Linked DNA regions of Kluyveromyces lactis. The protein of the gene in region 1 interacts with the protein of each later gene in a pairwise test. Links are inferred from orthologs where the notes say so. Each region holds a gene or a part of one and is shown in the gene's direction. Other genes may lie near its edges.

Region 1 (4,277 bases):
CCTATATTACAATGCCATCTGCTGATTTCGCGAAGACCGTACGTGACTTAAGTCAATTGAGTGATTCTATTAACATCTTAGTCACTAAGGATACCATCAAATTCGCCGCAGAAGGTGATATCGGAAGTGGGTCCATTGTTGTGAAACCTTTCACCGATTTGGATCATCCTGAAAGTTCAATTAAAGTTACCATAGAAAAACCAGTAGATTTAAGGTTCGGTGCTAAATATTTAAACGACATCATTAAGGGGTCCTCTCTATCAGATACAATCACTATAAAATTATCGGAAGAAGCGCCAGCCCTTTTCCAATTCGATATCTCAAGCGGTAATTTGCAATTCTATTTGGCTCCAAAGTTCGATGAAGAGGAATGAAATCTCTTTTCGCAATGCTATATATATATATATATTGTGTGTGTATTAAAATGACAATTACTGATATAAAATCAATTCAATTTACTTTAGAGTATGGTGTCGGTAGGAAAGGAATCCATCCCCAGGAATGTGCTTCTCACACAACTTTTCTCTGTAATCGGTAAAATGAGTTTAAACGCATCTCCCTGGTTCAAATAATACCGGAATAATCTCTTCATTCTGATGAAGCCCATATTCTCGTATAAATGCAAAGCAGCTGCATTGCTGCATTCAGTCTCCAACATAATCTCGTCACATTTTTCATCAATCATAGTATCTATAGCTAAGGTAATTAGTTTTTTCGCTATCCCACGGCCTCTATATTGTTTCTCCACTGCTAACATGCCAATGTATCCTCTTAACCGCACTCCATTATGAGTATCGCTCTTGCATACTATACATCCTATGGGCTTACCCGATCCTTCTGCCCATGCCAAATACGTTAGGTTCGGCCATTGGTTTAGGAAAAATCTGTACACGTATATCGAATATGGCTCACTGAGATCCTCATCGATCAATTTCTTGATGGTGGAAAACTCCATGTCATTACTGATATCGAATCGTGTGTACCTTATTTCGACCATCCTTTGCTTAGTTTATCTGCAGTATACTTTCTTATTAATTTTTAATTAGTTATATCAATGAGAGTAGATGCTGCCGAAGCTAGCGAATATAAAAAGCTTTACTTAAAACTGTTTATCTCATCATCTGGAGGTTTAAAACCAAATTTTTATAATAAAAGCATATCAGTCACGTGCTCTTGCTTCACCAAACTGATTCGAAAAAAGATTATATGGACCCCCCGGTAAGTTTTATAGGTGAGAAAACCTGTTACATAGTTTTTCAGTCCCCTGACGTTTATCGGCTCTTATTCCACTTGTTGCTTACGGCTTTAGTACTCCAGATTAGATATATCTCAGCATTTAAAGAATACTCATGATATAGAATCCTGTGAGCTAACACCCCCCATTTCATCATCATTAAATCGACATTGTCCCTTTATTTCTTTCCAAAGTCTTAAGGTTACAATCTGATAATTTTATTAATAATGCCGCCATGCAAGTTGATATGTGCTACATCAGGAGTTTCACACCAATTATCTAATGTTTATTTCCCTAGTTTCTTAGATTTGAAACAGTTTGCAAGTGATACTTTCCAGATACCGCTCGATGACATACTTCTATTGTTACCTTATGGAATGATATTGAAGAAAGCAGGATGGGATTCCAGAAAGCTGCAACAAGAAGGATTGGAAGAAATATACGTATTTGACCGTGGAATATTCAATGAGGAGATCGAGTTTTCCCCAAAGCCAAGGTTCCAACTTTTCAAACCTTTGCCATCGCCGATAAGCGATTCGTTACAGTTGGATAAAAATGTCATTCTACGGAATTTAGGGTGGTTGAAGGCTTTGCAATCAGACGTTGAATTTTTCCAGGACGTTATAAAAGAAACTTATCAAGACGTTCAACGGTTATTAGAGTGTGGTACTGTTATGCTTGAGTATTTGAAAAACTACTGCTATGAAGTGGAGGTGCTGTATAATGGCAACGTTGATTTTCTTAACAAGCTTCACGAAGATGGTGCCTCAAATCAATGGCATTCCTTTTATGATAATATTCTCGGCAATATTAAAGTTTCTAATCAGTTATTATCATCATTTTTCAATTATAGCGAGCTAACAGAGATCGAGGATTCCATTCACCGTCTGGATCGTGAACTAAATGCGAAGTTAAAGGAGTTAAAGAAAAGTATTGATGAATGCTACCAGCAGAGAACACAGTTAATCTCAGATTTAGATGATGTGAAAAAAAATTCAGTTGTCAGTTCTGATGATATGGACAACCAAATGGTTGAACGATTTAAAGAAATGGCTACAGAGATTGAGCTTGTATCAAATCAATATAAAGAAGAGGCTTCTAAAGATGCTTCAAAAGAGAAGTTTGAAACATTCAAAAGTGTACATGTCCCCAAATTACAAACAATTTCGCAAGCAATGTTCAATAAAGCTTCCACGAATTTAGATACAAAAGCTACTGTCCAGCAGAAGTTGCAACAGTTGTACCTTTCCGTTGCAAAATCGCAGATGAGCGTAATAATGGTGAAGTCGGTGTTAACTAAAGACGTTAAGACCAATATGAAGTTTTTGAAGAATGAAGAACTGAAATTATCTCAAGTATTGGATTTGCCTATGTGTTATGGATTGTATTTGATTGAGTTATACAGAGAGCAGCTCTGGACAGACCGTTACTCTCAACTTCGACAACAACATGAATCTTCATTGCAGCATCTTTTGGATGACGAAGTACGACAAAGAAACTCTTGGTACAAAGATTTCCAATGGATAACTCGATTTCTAGATGTTGATAGTTTGCTACCATCATCAGTATACATTCCGTCCATAAGTGATCATAAACAGGTGACATTGTCTCAGATTAAAGATTATATTAATCAACTTGCTTCATTGAACTTAGGTGAACCTACAATTAATTTACTTAAGTCAAAAGTCTCGCAGGCGGAGCTGACAGGCTTGCATTTACCTACAGATTACGCGCTCTCGAAGGACTCGGAGCTTATCATTGAAGGATACAAGGCTCGTATCAAAAAGCTAGAACATTTATTACTTGATGCACAGTTCCATCAGTACGACTCATGGCCAGCTGGCATTCTGAATAAGGAAACTGCAATGGTCCAAATGTTCCGCAATAGTACCGTGAGCACAAAGTTACAGCAAAGTTCAACATTCGATCTCCCAAGTTCCAAACAACAACACGAATCAAATAAAACCTTCGAGGAATTTCAAAACCTGCAAAAGGATATAAGCAAATACTCTGAATTAACCAAGACCCTTGAAACTGAACTTTCAACACTTAAAAGTCAACTTTCCCATATGGAGGTCGAGAAAAATGCTTACAGAGAATCCATGACAAATTTAAACAAAGAATTATCAACGTTGTTGATTGAACGCGAAAACTTCTATTCTGAAATGAATTCTCGTTCGGAGAATTTCAAGAAGCATTTAGGATCCCTCTTTGAGCAAAATGAGGAACTTGTAAGGGAATCTGAAGAATCCCGACGGAAATCCGAGGATTTAAACAAAATGAAAGAAGATCTTCTTGTCAATATGGCAACCCAAGAAGTTCAAGCAGAACAGGAACGGGCTTCCTTGCAAGAAGAAGTTGAAAGTCTTAAAAAAGATCTTAACCAATTGCAAATATCAAAAAGCAAAACAATTGATGCAGAGTTTATCAACTTTAATAAGCAATTGGAAAAAACTTTATATGATGTTTTCCAAGGTAGTATTTTCATTTTGGCGAGTATCGGGTTGTTACTTTCCAAAGATCAAGATGGAAACTTTCAAATTGTTCGCGTCAAAGGTTTAAGAAAAGATCTGGATTCAAGTTTGGCTGATATGAATAGTTCCATGGCAAAAAGTGTAATTGCACAAGAAATAAAGAGTACTTTCGAATCTATAAAGGATCAGATTGACTACAAACCTCATGAAAATTTCATTACCTACATAGAAAAACTATTTGGTAACCAATTGTTCGAAACGTCAGTGATCCGCAGGTTCAATGATATCGAAAGTTTGGCGAAAAAGCTTAGGAAAGAGAACAAGAATAAAAAACTCCTTTTGCAGAAAAGTGCTAGAGACAAAATTACAATATATAACTTCCAACCGGGAGATCTTGCTCTTTTTTTACCAATCAACGATCAGGAATTGCTATTAAATTCTTCAATATCGTCGCTAAATTCTTCATTTTCATCCATTGATTTAAACTCATCTACACAGTCTGTTATGCAACGTCCAAATGTTGTCAAGTCTGATATTGCAGCTAGCATTCTTAACGGAAGCTCTGCTTC
Region 2 (3,881 bases), about 110 kb from region 1:
AAGTGTCCTTGAAAACCTGTGCGTCTTGTACTGAAGTCGACAACCTGAATGAGTTTTGACTTGCTACGTCTTCCTAGATCAGAAAGAACCGTCAAAAGTACTCCTCACAAGTTAATTCGTGATGAGGATAATCAAATAAGTGTCGGATGTGTATAATCTCCGAGAGTTAATACACCAAAGTTCCAATGCAAAGGCTTTTTTCAGTATTTGTGAGTCTGACACTAACTTCTTTTGTTGTTGTTGTTGTTGGTAACAGGTGACCAATATCAAAAGATGTGCTCGTCACTAATTTGAACTAAAAACGTAACTAGCACAAACTATCCAGTTATATTCAGATAGAGAGAGACTGTGTGTATATGTGTGTAGACAAAAAAATCAGCCAGTTAATATTGTATTGTCTGAGAATTCCGTTTCCCTTTATTTCTTTCCTTTACCAATTCTGTCTCAGGAGTGTCCAGCGAATGAAAGAATTAAGAAGTTCAATTTGAAGGTACTGGCAAGTTTGGACCAAAGGGATATGTAGTGTTGGTTTTAACTTTAGCTTCTCCTGTTCACACACTCAAACCAAATAAAAGGTATAGTAAGTTCAAAAGTTCACACTTTGTTATATTATTTCATTTTGTACTAAATTTTTAAAGCCAGAAAAATTCAAAATCGATTTCAAGACCCAGGAAAAATCAATAATTACGTGAAAGACCCCAATCATAAGAATGAGCGAGCTTGAATTTGCAAATTGTATGTTCAATTTCCTGTAAATCTTATCCAACAATAATTCAATTGGAAGTATATGCATATATATAAACGAAAATCCAGATATGGAAGAATCAAGATATTTGATGATTACAAAACCTTTGTATTTCGTGTGTAGATCTGTAACGGCATCCGAAAAAAACAAGAAAACTATCCCATTGACAGTGAAAGTCGGCCTTTATATGGGCCCTTGTAGTTCGTTTGGAAACTCTTCTCCCCGTTAATTTGAATAAGAGGCTACTGGCTAAATAGGCTCACTGACTGTGCTATCTATTGGATACGATCTGGATCCAGTTAGATTGGCAGATCTAACCATTTCCGGGTAATACTTGGTTTTTTCTAACTTTTGGTGGCGAAAAAGGGGAAAAACAAGAAAAACATCAAATCAAAATCAATTCTAGTCAACTCGAGAGAGATATTCCAAATATCTAGAGAGATTTATTTTTATATATACCTTTACTACATCCAAAGTTAATCGGTTAGGTCAGAGATATATTTTGAATTCTCAATTTGTAATTGTAATTGAGATCAAGCCCAATACTGTGAGTAAATAAACTGGCAACATGGATGAACGTTTGATTGCTACGATCAATAAGTTACAGGATGCTTTGGCTCCATTAGGCGGCGGTTCTCAGACTCCGATTGATTTACCACAAATTACCGTTGTTGGTTCTCAAAGTTCTGGTAAATCTTCTGTGTTGGAAAACATTGTCGGTAGAGATTTCTTGCCTCGTGGTACCGGTATTGTTACCAGAAGACCATTGATCTTACAATTGATCAACCGTAGGGTCAAGAAGGAGACTAAGCATGCTACAGAAGAGCTGTTAGATTTGGATAACAGTGCAGCCAATGGTGGTCAAAATGAAGACAATGCAGAAGAATGGGGTGAGTTTGGTCATTTGCCCGGTAAAAAGCTTTTCAACTTTAACGAAATTAGAAAAGAGATCGTTTTGGAGACCGATAAGAGTACCGGGAAGAATGCAGGGATTTCTGCGGTTCCAATCACTTTAAGAGTATATTCGCCACATGTGCTAACTTTAACCTTGGTCGATTTGCCCGGTTTGACCAAGGTCCCTGTTGGTGATCAACCAGCTGATATCGAAAGACAAATCAAGGATATGATCTTGACTTACATCAAGAAACCTAACGCTATTATCTTGGCAGTGAACCCAGCTAATGCTGATTTGGCTAACAGTGATGGTTTGAAATTGGCCAGGGAAGTCGATCCCGATGGATCAAGAACCATCGGTGTGTTAACTAAAGTCGATTTGATGGATGAAGGTACAGATGTCATCGATATTTTGGCCGGAAGAGTTATCCCATTGAAATTTGGTTATATCCCAGTAATCAATAGAGGTCAAAAAGATATCGAAAAGAATAAAACAATTAGATCTGCGTTAGAGGACGAAAAACGTTTCTTTGAGAACCATCCATCGTACAGTGCAAGAGCACTGTACTGTGGTACCCCATATTTAACTAAGAAGTTAAATTCTATTCTATTGCATCACATCAGACAAACGTTGCCAGATATTAAACATAAGATTGAGGTCACTTTGAAGAAATATCAAACTGAATTGTTAAGTTTGGGTCCAGAATCCCTATCATCTTCCAGTTCCATCGTGCTAAGCATGATCACAGACTTCTCAAAGGAATACACAGGTATATTGGATGGTGAAGCAAGGGAGCTTACAAGTAAAGAACTATCAGGTGGTGCTAGAGTCTCGTTTGTGTTCCATGAAATCTTCAAGAATGGTGTTTACGCCTTGGATCCATTCGATCAAATTAAGGACTCCGATATCAGAACTATTATGTACAATTGTTCTGGTTCAGCGCCTTCTTTGTTTGTGGGTACCGAAGCATTTGAAGTCTTGGTGAAGAAGCAAATTAGTAGGTTCGAACAACCTTCTTTACGTTTGGTCAACTTAGTTTTCGATGAATTGGTCCGTATACTAAAGCAGATTATCAACCAACCAAAATACAGCAGATACCCAAGCCTAAGAGATGCTATCTCGAATAACTTCGTTCAATTCCTGAAAGAGGCGGTCATTCCAACTAATGACTTTGTCGTCGACATCATAAAATCTGAACAAACTTATATCAATACAGCTCATCCAGACCTATTAAAGGGCTCTCAAGCAATGGCTATGGTTGAAGAAAGACTACATCCACGCCAAGTGGATCCAAAGACCGGTAAACCGATTGCTGCTCAACCTGTAAAAGCCGAAGAAACTAGACCATCTGGTTTCTTTGGTGGTTTCTTCTCATCGAAGAGTAAGACTAGAGCTTCTGTTTTGGAAAATCCACCAAATGTTTTAGAAGCCACTGGTCAAATGACTGAAAGGGAAAAACTTGAAACGGAAGTTATTAAATTACTTATCGACAGCTATTTCAGCATCGTCAAGAGATCCGTGGCAGACTTCATTCCAAAGGCTGTTATGCTAAAATTAATCGTTAAGAGTAAAAATGACATTCAAAAGATTCTACTTGAGAAATTATACAGCAGCGAAAATCTTGACGAGCTAACGAAGGAAAGTGATTTGACTACCCAAAGAAGGAAAGAATGTCAAAAGATGGTCAATATTCTAACTCATGCTAGTGAGATTGTTTCATCCGTTTGAATATTAAGTGCTTGTATTTATAAATTGAAACTGTTTTTCCCTCCATTTCATTTCCTCTTTTTTTTTTCTCTGGCTGCTCTGCCTATAGATTAGTGAAATAAATAGTGATATATATCATTGATAAAGAATATCAGAATTATTAATTTTTTTTTTGTCATCGTTATCTTGCTTCCGAATTAAATGTATGTTTCGTTCTATTAACTTAGCTATTATTCTGTATTGGCATGTAACATTTTCAAATCCTATTTTCCTAAAGCTAGTAATTTTTTGGTGACAAATATTGGCCATGCTAACGCTCAATGTATATTGTCTTGATTCACAGTGATTCACAGTTATTTGAATGAAAATTACGAAGACTCATCAAATCTTTAAACATTTTCAACCAGGAAATAGATGATAAGCCTCTTAACTAATAGATTGCAGGATGCTGTTATGATCTCTAATATTGAATTTTATCGACAGTGAACTATTCCAATTTATGATAAATGTTCTCACTTTTTTTACACGTTTATA
Region 3 (3,994 bases), on another chromosome or scaffold:
ATCAAGAGAAGGAGACAGACCTCCGCTTCCAAAAAGGCCGGACAACAAAGTGCAAGAAGCCGTTTTCGATGGAACAAGTGAACCAAGCCTACCTAGTACAGCATCGGCAGAACCTCGCCCAGCAGTATTCGATGGGGTACAACAATACTATGATCCAACTACCGGCCAAATTTATGTAGATCAAAACTCCTATGCGGCAATGCAGCAGGCCCAGGTACAAGCATTGGCACAACAAGTTCAACCTCAGTTTACACAACAGGTTCAACCTCAGTTTACACAACAAGTGCAACCCCAATTCACACAGCAATTACAACCTCAGTTCACCCAACAGGTACAGCCTCAATTCACTGCTCAACCATCGATAGATAAGAACACACTATTATCACTGTATCAAAGACCAGATTTATATTCTAGTGCCGTAGAAATCAAACCGGATAATCCACAATACCAACAGATCCTGAATCTCCAAAAACAACAGCAGGACCAACAACAGCAGCAACAGCAACTGCTACAACAACAGCAGCTACAACAGCAGCAACAGCAACAGCTCCTGCAGCAACAACAGTTACAACAAATGCAATACCAACAACCACAACAGTACCAACAACAATTCTACCCCCCATTCCAATAGATCATCATCCCTTGGCCTTCTTTGCAGCTGCAGCTGCAACTGCACATCTGCTACCGCACTACGGTTTAATCTCTCATACCTATGTTTGCCTATATAATACGTAAATATGGCTAAAACCAAAACACCGCTACAACTAATATCTAACTTTGTCTTCCTCCTCTGACGTTTCACAACGTCTGCTATACACTCTTATCCGGAACATCCACGATCTACTTACTACCTAGCTATCACCACTATTATCTTACTGACCATCAAAAAAAAAACCTCCCATTGACTCATAACCAATCATATCTTATTTGCACTTAACGAGCGTTTTCTTAAAACCGTTCCACCAAGCACCAGTGTCTTTCCACTGCCTTTACTGTGTACGTTTTCTGCGATATATCTGTCTTTCCTTCTTTGTTTCTTTATTTCTATATAAAGTTCAAAATGACTTATTACAAACTAAGTTTTGATCCTTAAAAACCATTTATAAGAAATAAGAACGCCCCCCCTTGTAAAGAAAGAGGCCAAAGAATGACAACGGTCTGGCACTGAGTAGTCATATGGAAAGCGGTTGAGCATGAGTTCAGAATCGCACGACAAAGTTGTGGCGAAAGCCATTCGTTTGCCGACAGAAAACTATTCCGTGGAGAAGGAGATCGGTAAGGGTTCATTCGCGGTTGTTTACAAAGGTCTATCGTTAAGAGATGGGAGAAACATAGCTATCAAGGCCGTGTCGAGGTCGAAGCTAAAGAACAAGAAGCTTTTGGAGAATTTGGAGGTCGAAATTGCCATTTTAAAGAAGATCAAACATCCGCATATTGTGGGGTTAATAGATTGTGAGCGGACTTCATCTGATTTCTATTTGATCATGGAATACTGTGCACTAGGTGATTTAACGTTTTTCATAAAGAAGAGGAAGAACCTAGTGCTCAAGCATCCTTTGATAAAGACTGTTTTTGAACATTACCCGCCACCAAGTACGGAACATAATGGATTAAATCGGGTTCTTGTGGTAAACTATTTACAACAACTATCCTCTGCGCTTAAGTTTTTGCGATCTAAGAATCTAGTACACAGAGATATCAAGCCACAGAATTTATTGTTATGCACACCGTTATTAGATTATAATGATCCGAAGACGTTTCATGAGTTGGGGTTTGTGGGAATCTACAATTTACCCATCTTGAAAATCGCGGATTTTGGGTTCGCTAGATTCTTGCCTAATACTTCTCTAGCAGAAACTTTATGCGGGTCACCATTGTACATGGCTCCAGAAATATTAAACTATCAAAAATACAATGCCAAGGCTGATCTTTGGTCAGTAGGAACGGTGCTATACGAAATGTGTTGCGGGAGACCGCCTTTTAAAGCATCAAACCATCTCGAGTTGTTTCAAAAGATTAAAAAGGCCAACGATGAGATTACAGTGCCCTCAAATTGCTATATTGAACCGAAACTGTTCAATCTAATAAGAGGGTTGCTAACTTTTGACCCGGATTCCCGTATGGGGTTCACTGATTTTTTCAATAACGAAGTAGTGACAGAAGATTTGACAAGGTACGAGCAATCGTATGAGCCAGACTTAGAATCCAAGAGTAAAGATGTCGCTGAAAGTAATATGTTTGTTTCAGAATATCTAGTCAAACCATTAAAGCAGCAGGAATCTGCACATATACCACCAACTCAAACTGACGAGAACACTAGTGTACAAACTGGCGTTAGGCGAACCTCAGGTAAAGAGAGGCTCGCAACAAACCATCCACCACATCAACAGATCCACCCAGAAGATAACTCTCAAAACCCAGAACAAAGCTACCAATCTGCAAGTCAGAAGAGGCTAAAGAGCTCTTACAATGATTTGATTTTGGAGAAGGAGTATGTTGTTGTGGAGAAGAAAACTGTCGAAGTAAATTCTTTGGCTGATGATTTTGCTAATAATGGACCCATAACAAACAACCAAGGGGCACAAGTTATAAAACCCTTGAGATACAGAACGTCTTCTTCTAGCGATGCATCAGGAGGAAGAAGAGCCTCTTTAGTGGAGAGAAGGCTTTCGATATCGTCATTAAGCCCGTCGAATGCGTTATCGAAGGCACTAGGGTTAGCTTCTGTAAGGCTTTTCGGATATCAACATAATACAAAGGCTACTTCTTCGCCACCTCAACAAACACTACTGAATCCTCAGATATTTCAGGAGCTAACGGAAAATGCAGTATTGAGGGCTGATCATAAACTAAATCCTTTCAGCGAACAAATGTTGGATTCCAACATAACTCCTGCAGTGGAATCGCTTGCGGCCAAAGCATTTGTCATGTATTCGTTCGCTGAAATGAAATTCTCTCAAATTCTTCCAACTCCTCCTTCTTCAACCGACTATGACCCACTGTCAGATAAACGTCTAAGTAACGGAAGTTGCGCGATAGAGGATGAAGAAGATTTGGATCAAGGCCGCCCACCTTCTAATCAAACTTTGACCTCAGCAACAACAAAGATTTCATCAGCCACCAATGTTGACACTCAAATACCGGCCCCCGAGTTGAAAAAGTTGTGCACCGAATCTTTACTTCTTTATCTAAAAGCTCTTACTATTTTAGCTGCTTCAATGAAATTAACATCAAAATGGTGGTATGAAAATGAAAGTAAAAACTGCACTTTGAAGCTAAACATTTTGGTGCAGTGGATTAGAGATCGCTTTAACGAATGCTTAGACAAGGCTGAATTTTTGCGTTTAAAGCTCCATGCTATTAATACATCACCAAATTCCCAATGGTCAGATGATGACCCTGTAATTTTTGTTGAAAAGTTAATATACGATCGTGCTTTAGATATATCTAGAAATGCTGCAAGAATGGAAATGGAAAGTGGGAATTACAATACTTGTGAACTAGCCTATGCTACTTCATTATGGATGTTAGAAATTTTGCTGGACGAAAATTTTCAATTCAACGAAGTCTATGATGACGAGTATGCATCAAATATCACCTCCTTAGACGAATCAGATAAGGAAATGATAAAGAAATACATTTCAAGTATTGCTAATAGGTTAAAGGCACTAAAATCCAAAATGGTTTAGGATTGATCATCTTTTGGATTGGGTTTTTTACAATTTACATTTTATATAATGATTATATATATATGGATTAGGGTTTTTTCCATTAAACACTTACTACTTTTTTTTTGAAACGATACCGATATCGTTTAGTAGTAAAATAAGATTATATCTATGAATAGAATGACTTATTATAATAAATTAAATACCAAATTAAAAATTTCCAAACTTCAAATACGAAACAAAACGGGAGATGCAAATATAAAGCGTTTCAACTTTTGACAAAATAACTCAAATGTCGCTCAAAGGACCTCTATAGTACTATTGGA
Region 4 (4,101 bases), on another chromosome or scaffold:
GCGGGCGGTAAAACCGCTGATAAGGAAAGCACTGAGCGGTGCAAAGATTATAAAGAGAAGTACATCAGTACAGAGAGCGTTAGAAATATTATCCAACAGACCGTTGGATTCGAAGGGGATAACTTCAAGGGTTAAAATCCCAGACCAAGATTTATACGTTTCATTCCCGGTTCCGACGGAAATTGTCACAAAGGTAAGTCTTTTTACCAGGGCAGAGCCGCAGTATTTGTTTTCAAACTCATCTAAAAACCCAAGGAAACACGTCCTAAGTGGTGACAAATTGCTCAAATGGTGGTTAAAGATTGTAGACCAAATAGTTGTCGAAGATTTCGATAATAAAACAAAGGCAACCTTACAAATACCGGGAGAAGAGAAAAGAGTAATTTCCAACTATTTGAGAAACACAGCATATCAAAATTGGACCGTAGGAGACATTTTCTCTGAAAGTCCGCAAGACATTGCATTATACAGGATACCATTATTCCCTGATGACCCCAAGGGCAGATTCCTTGACCATCTGATCAGTGATGGACGAATTTCTAAAGTCAATGTGTTAACATTCTGGACAGAATTGCAAGCAAGGCAAGAGTTCAGACTGGGATCAACTGTGTCTGTCATTGGAGTGTCAGGAAAATACATCGGCCGTTGCAATGAACCAGAACGGACTGATATAATTATACCAACCTCGAAGAAGAACTTTAAAAATCTGAAGAACTACATAACTGGAGAAGAATATGACACTGAAGAAGGTGCTGAAGAAGCATACATGAACATTCGAGATATTTTTGACATGCATTACTCCACGAAGATGATAAAAGTTATTGGAAACCACCACAAGATCGCTACTACAAAACGGCCTGAAATAAACACTATTAACGTAATAAACACTCTAAGTGTCCATAGGAAACCTAAATCGTAGTGTGACGGTGCTGATATATATATACTACATAATGGATTCAGGACAATTTGCGCGTACATCACAGCGGATCTCTATATTGGAAGTCAATTTTCAGCAGAAATCAAACAGAGAATAAAAATGTAACAAATTAAATCAAATAAAAATAAAAATAAAAATAAAAATAAAAATAAAAATAAATAAATAAATAATAAAAAATACCTATTGCATTGAGAATAATTATTTGAAATTTGATCCAATGAAATGGTTAAATATTGCGTTTGAGTGTATCTTTGATTGGTTAGATATTAGATGCGATCCTGTTAACCTTAAACTAGTCTATTAGAACGGTTAATTAGGTCGGAGTATAGTACACAAGTAACTCTGAAGATGTCAAGTCTAGAAGATTTGATTCCTACGGTGAATAAGCTACAGGATGTTATGTACGATGCAGGCATTGACAGTTTGGATCTACCGGTTTTAGCTGTTATTGGATCGCAATCTTCTGGTAAGTCTTCGATCTTGGAAACGTTGGTCGGGAGAGATTTCTTACCTCGTGGTACTGGTATTGTTACCAGACGTCCTCTAGTTCTTCAGTTGAATAATATTGATCCGAATTCTCCATTGGTTTATAATTATGACAATTCTTCATCTACGTCACTTGAACAGGTTAATGACGAGCCAGATGCCCGCACGGAGAAGGAAATGACCTTGGAAGATCATTTGAGAAAGAATTCAAACTATAAGCCTGAAATAAAGAATGAATGGGGTGAGTTTTTACATATTCCAGGTCGTAGATTCTACGACTTTTCTGAAATTAGAAGGGAAATTGAAAACGAAACTGCTAGGATTGCAGGGAAAGAGAAGGGAATAAGCAGAATTCCAATCAACTTGAAAATATATTCTCCGCATGTTTTGAACTTGACTTTAGTGGATCTACCAGGTATCACTAAGGTTCCGATTGGGGAACAGCCACCGGATATTGAAAGACAAATCGAGAATTTGATCTTGGAATATGTTGCCAAGCCAAACTGTATCATCTTGGCCATCTCCCCTGCTAATGTCGATCTCGTTAATTCAGAATCTTTGAAATTGGCCAGAGAGATAGATCCCCATGGGAAAAGAACTATTGGTGTTATTACTAAATTGGATCTTATGGACCAAGGCACTAATGCTTTGGATATTTTGTCAGGGAAGTTGTATCCTTTGAAGCTAGGATTTGTCGGTGTGGTGAACAGATCCCAGCAAGACATCCAACAAAACAAAAGTGTTGAAGAAGCTTTGAACTCAGAAGAACAATTCTTTGCAAAACATCCTGTTTACAGAACTATTTCAACTAGATGCGGAACCAGATACTTGGCTAAATTATTGAACCAAGTCTTGATGAATCACATTAGAGATAAATTGCCAGATATCAAAGCCAGATTAAATACCCTCATCGGACAAACCGAACAAGAATTGGCTACATATGGTGACGATAAAGTTATCACGAAAGAAAATAGAGCTGGCCTTGTTTTGCAATTGATGAATAAATTTGCTACTAAATTCATTTCTTCCATCGATGGTACTTCCTCGGAAATAAGCACTAAAGAACTTTGTGGTGGTGCCAGAATCTATTACATCTATAACACTCTATTCGGGAAATCTCTAAACTTCATCAACCCTACTTCTAACTTATCAATGACGGACATCAGAACAGCTATAAGAAACTCAACTGGGCCAAGACCTTCATTGTTTGTTCCAGAATTAGCATTCGATCTATTGGTTAAACCACAAATCAGATTACTTCTAGATCCATCTCAACGTTGCGTAGAATTGGTGTATGAAGAATTGATGAAGATATGTCACAACTGTGGCTCTCCTGAGCTAGCAAGATATCCAAAACTACAAAGTAAGCTAGTCGAGGTTGTCAGTGAACTGTTGAGGGAAAGATTGGGACCAACTCGTTCTTACGTCGAAAGTTTGATTGATATTCATAAAGCGTACATTAACACAAATCATCCAAATTTCCCAAGTGCTACAGAGGCCATGGCCGAGATTGTTGAAGCTAGAAAGAACAAAAAGCAAACGGAAAGACTTCAGAAACAGAGGGAATATGAGAAGCAGCTACTGTTAGAGCAACAACAAGCTGAACGTGAAATGAAGAAATCCGATTCAGTAGATGAGACAGAACAAGATTTGAAGCTTGATTCTGATTCCACAGCAACCAGCGAGCACGACTCTGAAGAAGAAAATGATATGAAGCAATCAAAGGATTCCTTCTTGAATTATTTCTTCGGCAAAGAACAAAAGAGTTCCAATACAAAGCTTTCTTCGAGAATTGATTATAACGGCTCTGATAATTCTTATGACATCGAAAATTTGCAAATTCAAGATTTTAAAGACAAGAGCGCAGATGCCCATACCAAATCTGAAGCTGCTACCGAATTTACCGAACGTGAAGAGTTGGAATGTGAATTAATTAGAAGATTGATCGTCTCATACTTTTCCATTGTTAGAGAGATGATCGAAGATCAGGTCCCAAAGGCTGTAATGTGCTTGCTAGTAAACTATTCAAAAGAATCTGTCCAAAATAGACTAGTCACAAAGCTTTACAAAGAGTCACTCTTCGATGAACTCTTGATGGAAGATCAGACTTTAGCACAGGACCGCGAAAAATGCGTCAACCTTTTGGAAACTTATCAAAAAGCATCAGGTATTATCGGAGACATTCTATAGTCCTAGATAGGATCCTAAGTTTTATTTTATTAAGTTCAAAATGTAAATAGAAATGAAGATAATATTTTGTATACAGAAAAAAAAAAACAGTATTGAATATGCAAAGCATTAACGTTTATCCGTGAAGCTAATTTACTGATGTTGGATTATCCAAATGGTCAGAATTTAACCTCAGATGTGGAAGGGATGCTCTTTCTATCATAGAAAACAATATGTACCTTATAAACGCCAGATTCATAGAAACGCCTTTATCAAAAACATCAATATAATCAAGCAGAAAAATATTATTAAATTTCCAAAATATTTCATTAATATTTTTATTTTCGGAACAATAAAACATCTTTAATATTTAAATTTTAGAGTAGTAATCAAAAATATTCTATTTTATAAATAACCTAGAGTTAACAAAAATTAATATATATAATTAAAATATGATAATTATAAAGTTATTTTAAAAATTAAATATAAAAATTATAAGTTTATAAAAA
Region 5 (2,374 bases), on another chromosome or scaffold:
AAAGAGGAATTGGTGTTCTACATTTAAATAAAGATGAAGTTTCAGAAAAGTCGAGAATAGTAATGAGATCCCGTGGGTTATTGAAAGTAATATTGAATCTACCGCTTGTAAAAGGATTTTCTATTAAAAAAGGGTTCCCAGGTTCTCTGAACGGAGAAAAGTTCGTCAGAATATTAGCAGTTGATGAGAACAAGAATCCTGTCCAGTATGCCTTAAGGACAGGAAAAGCTGAAATAGCAGATGAGTTATATGAGAAAGTAAATGCTCATATCCTGGAGAATTGAATTGGACATATTACTTCTGATTCAAACAGACTTTGTAAAATTGACACTACTTAAAACCTTTTGAATAATACCTTAATTAAGATTATTTAGCAGAAGATTTGAGAAAGGCAACGCTGCATATTGTAGTTCCTTTGACACCACCGAACTCAAATATTGGATAGTTTACCGATTTCCATTTTTTCAACGTCTCTGTTTCAATAATCTTTATGAGTTCCTCTTCTGTAAAATTGCATGATGTAATCAACAGAATACTGTTTTCGCCTAATATCTTCTCTATCACTTTCGGATAGACATCTACCACGGTTTCATTGTTTTCAAATTTTATACCGCTTAATGCGATGGCATCTAGTGTACCTTTATCTAGAACGACATCGAATTTACCTGGGGCCCATTGTTCATTGAATATATCTGCCGTAGCAAAAGTTACGTTATCATTTTGGCTGTATTTAGTCTTGAGAATCTCAGCAGCAAACTCGACTGATTTTTCAGAGTAATCTACACCGATCATTTCACCTTTGAAACCTTCCTCCAATAGAGTGAACAAAAGATGACCATTTCCAGTTCCGAGATCAATCATTGAGCTGTCTTCTTTGATATTGTATTCGCCCAAGTTATCTAGTAGAAATTCGACCATTTTCTCCTCTGCATCGTTATCAGCGAACCAGCATTCTCCAGTATCCTCAGGGTTCTCCTCGAAGTTTTGTTTCTCTAATGAGTAGAAATCGTCCCAGTATTCCTTAGTTCCCAACTTAGAAGTATTCAATTTTGTTGTATCTTCCATGTTTCTAGTGTAAGTTTTCTGGACAAAAATGAACCAACGGATAAATTACCGCAATTATCAGTGTTGATATTTGGAACGGAACTTCAATTGCTGATCTTATTGCGATGCCTCTGTACCAATTCTCAGAGATGACTTTCTGTATATATTTGTATATAATCAAAACGTTTTCGAGATGTCTAGCGGACGTAAGAAAAATAAATTGAAAAGTTAAAACTGATAATTTGACATTGAATTTGAAACAATATCATTAACAACATCTGAAACGATCGAAGGTAGCAGTTATTTCTTTATCTTGAAATCACTCGCACAAGCTCAAAAAAATACTGCGGTATGACTAACATCCACTACCTTCCTGAATTGGAGGATTCATATTCTGCATTAAACAGCGATCAAATCGAAATTTTAAGGCAACAGGTGCTCAATGAAGGGGGCGAAATATCATCTATTCAATCACGCTTCAATTACGCCTGGGGTCTCGTCAGATCGACGAATAAGGAAGATCAGATGTTGGGTGTTAAGTTATTGACGGACATATACAAAGAATCTCCAATGAGAAGAAGAGAGTGCTTATACTATTTGACCATCGGATGTTACAAACTCGGCGAATACTCTACTGCAAAGCGGTACGTGGATGCACTAGTGCATCATGAACCTGAAAACAAACAAGCATTGATGCTACAAACCGCTGTAGAAAACAAGATCACTTCTCAGGGATTAAAAGGGATTGCCTTGATCAGTGCAGGAATCGCCATCGGCGCAACCACCATCGGCCTCCTTATCAGAGGCAGAAGGCGCTAACAAATTTCTTTCCTCCACTACATTCTCAAGAATAGAAATATAATCTCCAGGGAATATCCTGTCACCCATATTACTCGCTTGTAAATAATGTTATATGTATGTCCCTATCAATCTAATGAAATAATCTGCTAATGATCAAAATATATTCGAACTTGTGAATCTTCAATTCATGAATTGCATCACAAAGTTTACATTAAAAGATGAAATGTAGTTACAAAAGTGAGAACAACGAAGAAGTGAAATGTTTCTGTTACAATTGCTAGTAATGATGGATACATAGGAAGAATTGTTTCCATTGGACCAAGTACTGCCCCACAGTTCTAGTGGCCTTCGCCTTCGCCTTGGGTAAAGGCATTGGTATCGTATCACGTGACCATAGGAAATTTCCAGATTACCAAATCAGTATGATGGTCTCTCCTCCTTACTAACTGGCGGTATCACGTAGTCTTCCATTAAATAGTAACAAACAACAACAACCGAGTCTAATTCTGTCCAGTTTGCCGCAATTCAC

The links.
Region 2: the proteins of ATG11 (region 1) and VPS1 interact in a protein complementation assay, tested with the Saccharomyces cerevisiae proteins (3 studies listed by BioGRID, with this or other methods). The link is inferred for Kluyveromyces lactis from reciprocal best matches to the Saccharomyces cerevisiae genes ATG11 and VPS1.
Region 3: the proteins of ATG11 (region 1) and ATG1 interact in binary tests that used the Saccharomyces cerevisiae proteins (3 or more experiments, as listed by UniProt). The link is inferred for Kluyveromyces lactis from reciprocal best matches to the Saccharomyces cerevisiae genes ATG11 and ATG1.
Region 4: the proteins of ATG11 (region 1) and DNM1 interact in a protein complementation assay, tested with the Saccharomyces cerevisiae proteins (2 studies listed by BioGRID, with this or other methods). The link is inferred for Kluyveromyces lactis from reciprocal best matches to the Saccharomyces cerevisiae genes ATG11 and DNM1.
Region 5: the proteins of ATG11 (region 1) and FIS1 interact in a protein complementation assay, tested with the Saccharomyces cerevisiae proteins (2 studies listed by BioGRID, with this or other methods). The link is inferred for Kluyveromyces lactis from reciprocal best matches to the Saccharomyces cerevisiae genes ATG11 and FIS1.

The regions. Positions count from the first base shown.
Region 1 is NC_006038.1:1,057,397-1,061,673, forward strand, and holds the start of ATG11 (autophagy protein ATG11), read left to right. Parts: upstream 1-1,461; coding exon 1,462-4,277. Other genes in the region: POL30 (proliferating cell nuclear antigen), read left to right, coding at 1-374; peptide alpha-N-acetyltransferase MAK3, read right to left, coding at 461-997. UniProt on the Saccharomyces cerevisiae protein: Involved in cytoplasm to vacuole transport (Cvt), pexophagy, mitophagy and nucleophagy. Recruits mitochondria for their selective degradation via autophagy (mitophagy) during starvation, through its interaction with ATG32.
Region 2 is NC_006038.1:1,164,430-1,168,310, forward strand, and holds VPS1 (dynamin-like GTPase VPS1), read left to right. Parts: upstream 1-1,313; coding exon 1,314-3,368; downstream 3,369-3,881.
Region 3 is NC_006039.1:1,497,766-1,501,759, forward strand, and holds ATG1 (serine/threonine protein kinase ATG1), read left to right. Parts: upstream 1-1,193; coding exon 1,194-3,689; downstream 3,690-3,994. Other genes in the region: GTS1 (Gts1p), read left to right, coding at 1-631; KLLA0_C17182g (uncharacterized protein), read right to left, coding at 3,968-3,994. UniProt on the Saccharomyces cerevisiae protein: Serine/threonine protein kinase involved in the cytoplasm to vacuole transport (Cvt) and found to be essential in autophagy, where it is required for the formation of autophagosomes.
Region 4 is NC_006042.1:1,187,038-1,191,138, reverse strand, and holds DNM1 (dynamin-related GTPase DNM1), read left to right. Parts: upstream 1-1,285; coding exon 1,286-3,613; downstream 3,614-4,101. Other genes in the region: H3 histone acetyltransferase RTT109, read left to right, coding at 1-919. UniProt on the Saccharomyces cerevisiae protein: Microtubule-associated force-producing protein that participates mitochondrial fission. Fission of mitochondria occurs in many cell types and constitutes an important step in mitochondria morphology, which is balanced between fusion and fission.
Region 5 is NC_006039.1:696,777-699,150, reverse strand, and holds FIS1 (Fis1p), read left to right. Parts: upstream 1-1,395; coding exon 1,396-1,863; downstream 1,864-2,374. Other genes in the region: YRB2 (Yrb2p), read left to right, coding at 1-284; EFM4 (Efm4p), read right to left, coding at 367-1,065. UniProt on the Saccharomyces cerevisiae protein: Has a role in mitochondrial fission. Has a role in outer membrane fission but not matrix separation. Required for targeting MDV1 to the mitochondria.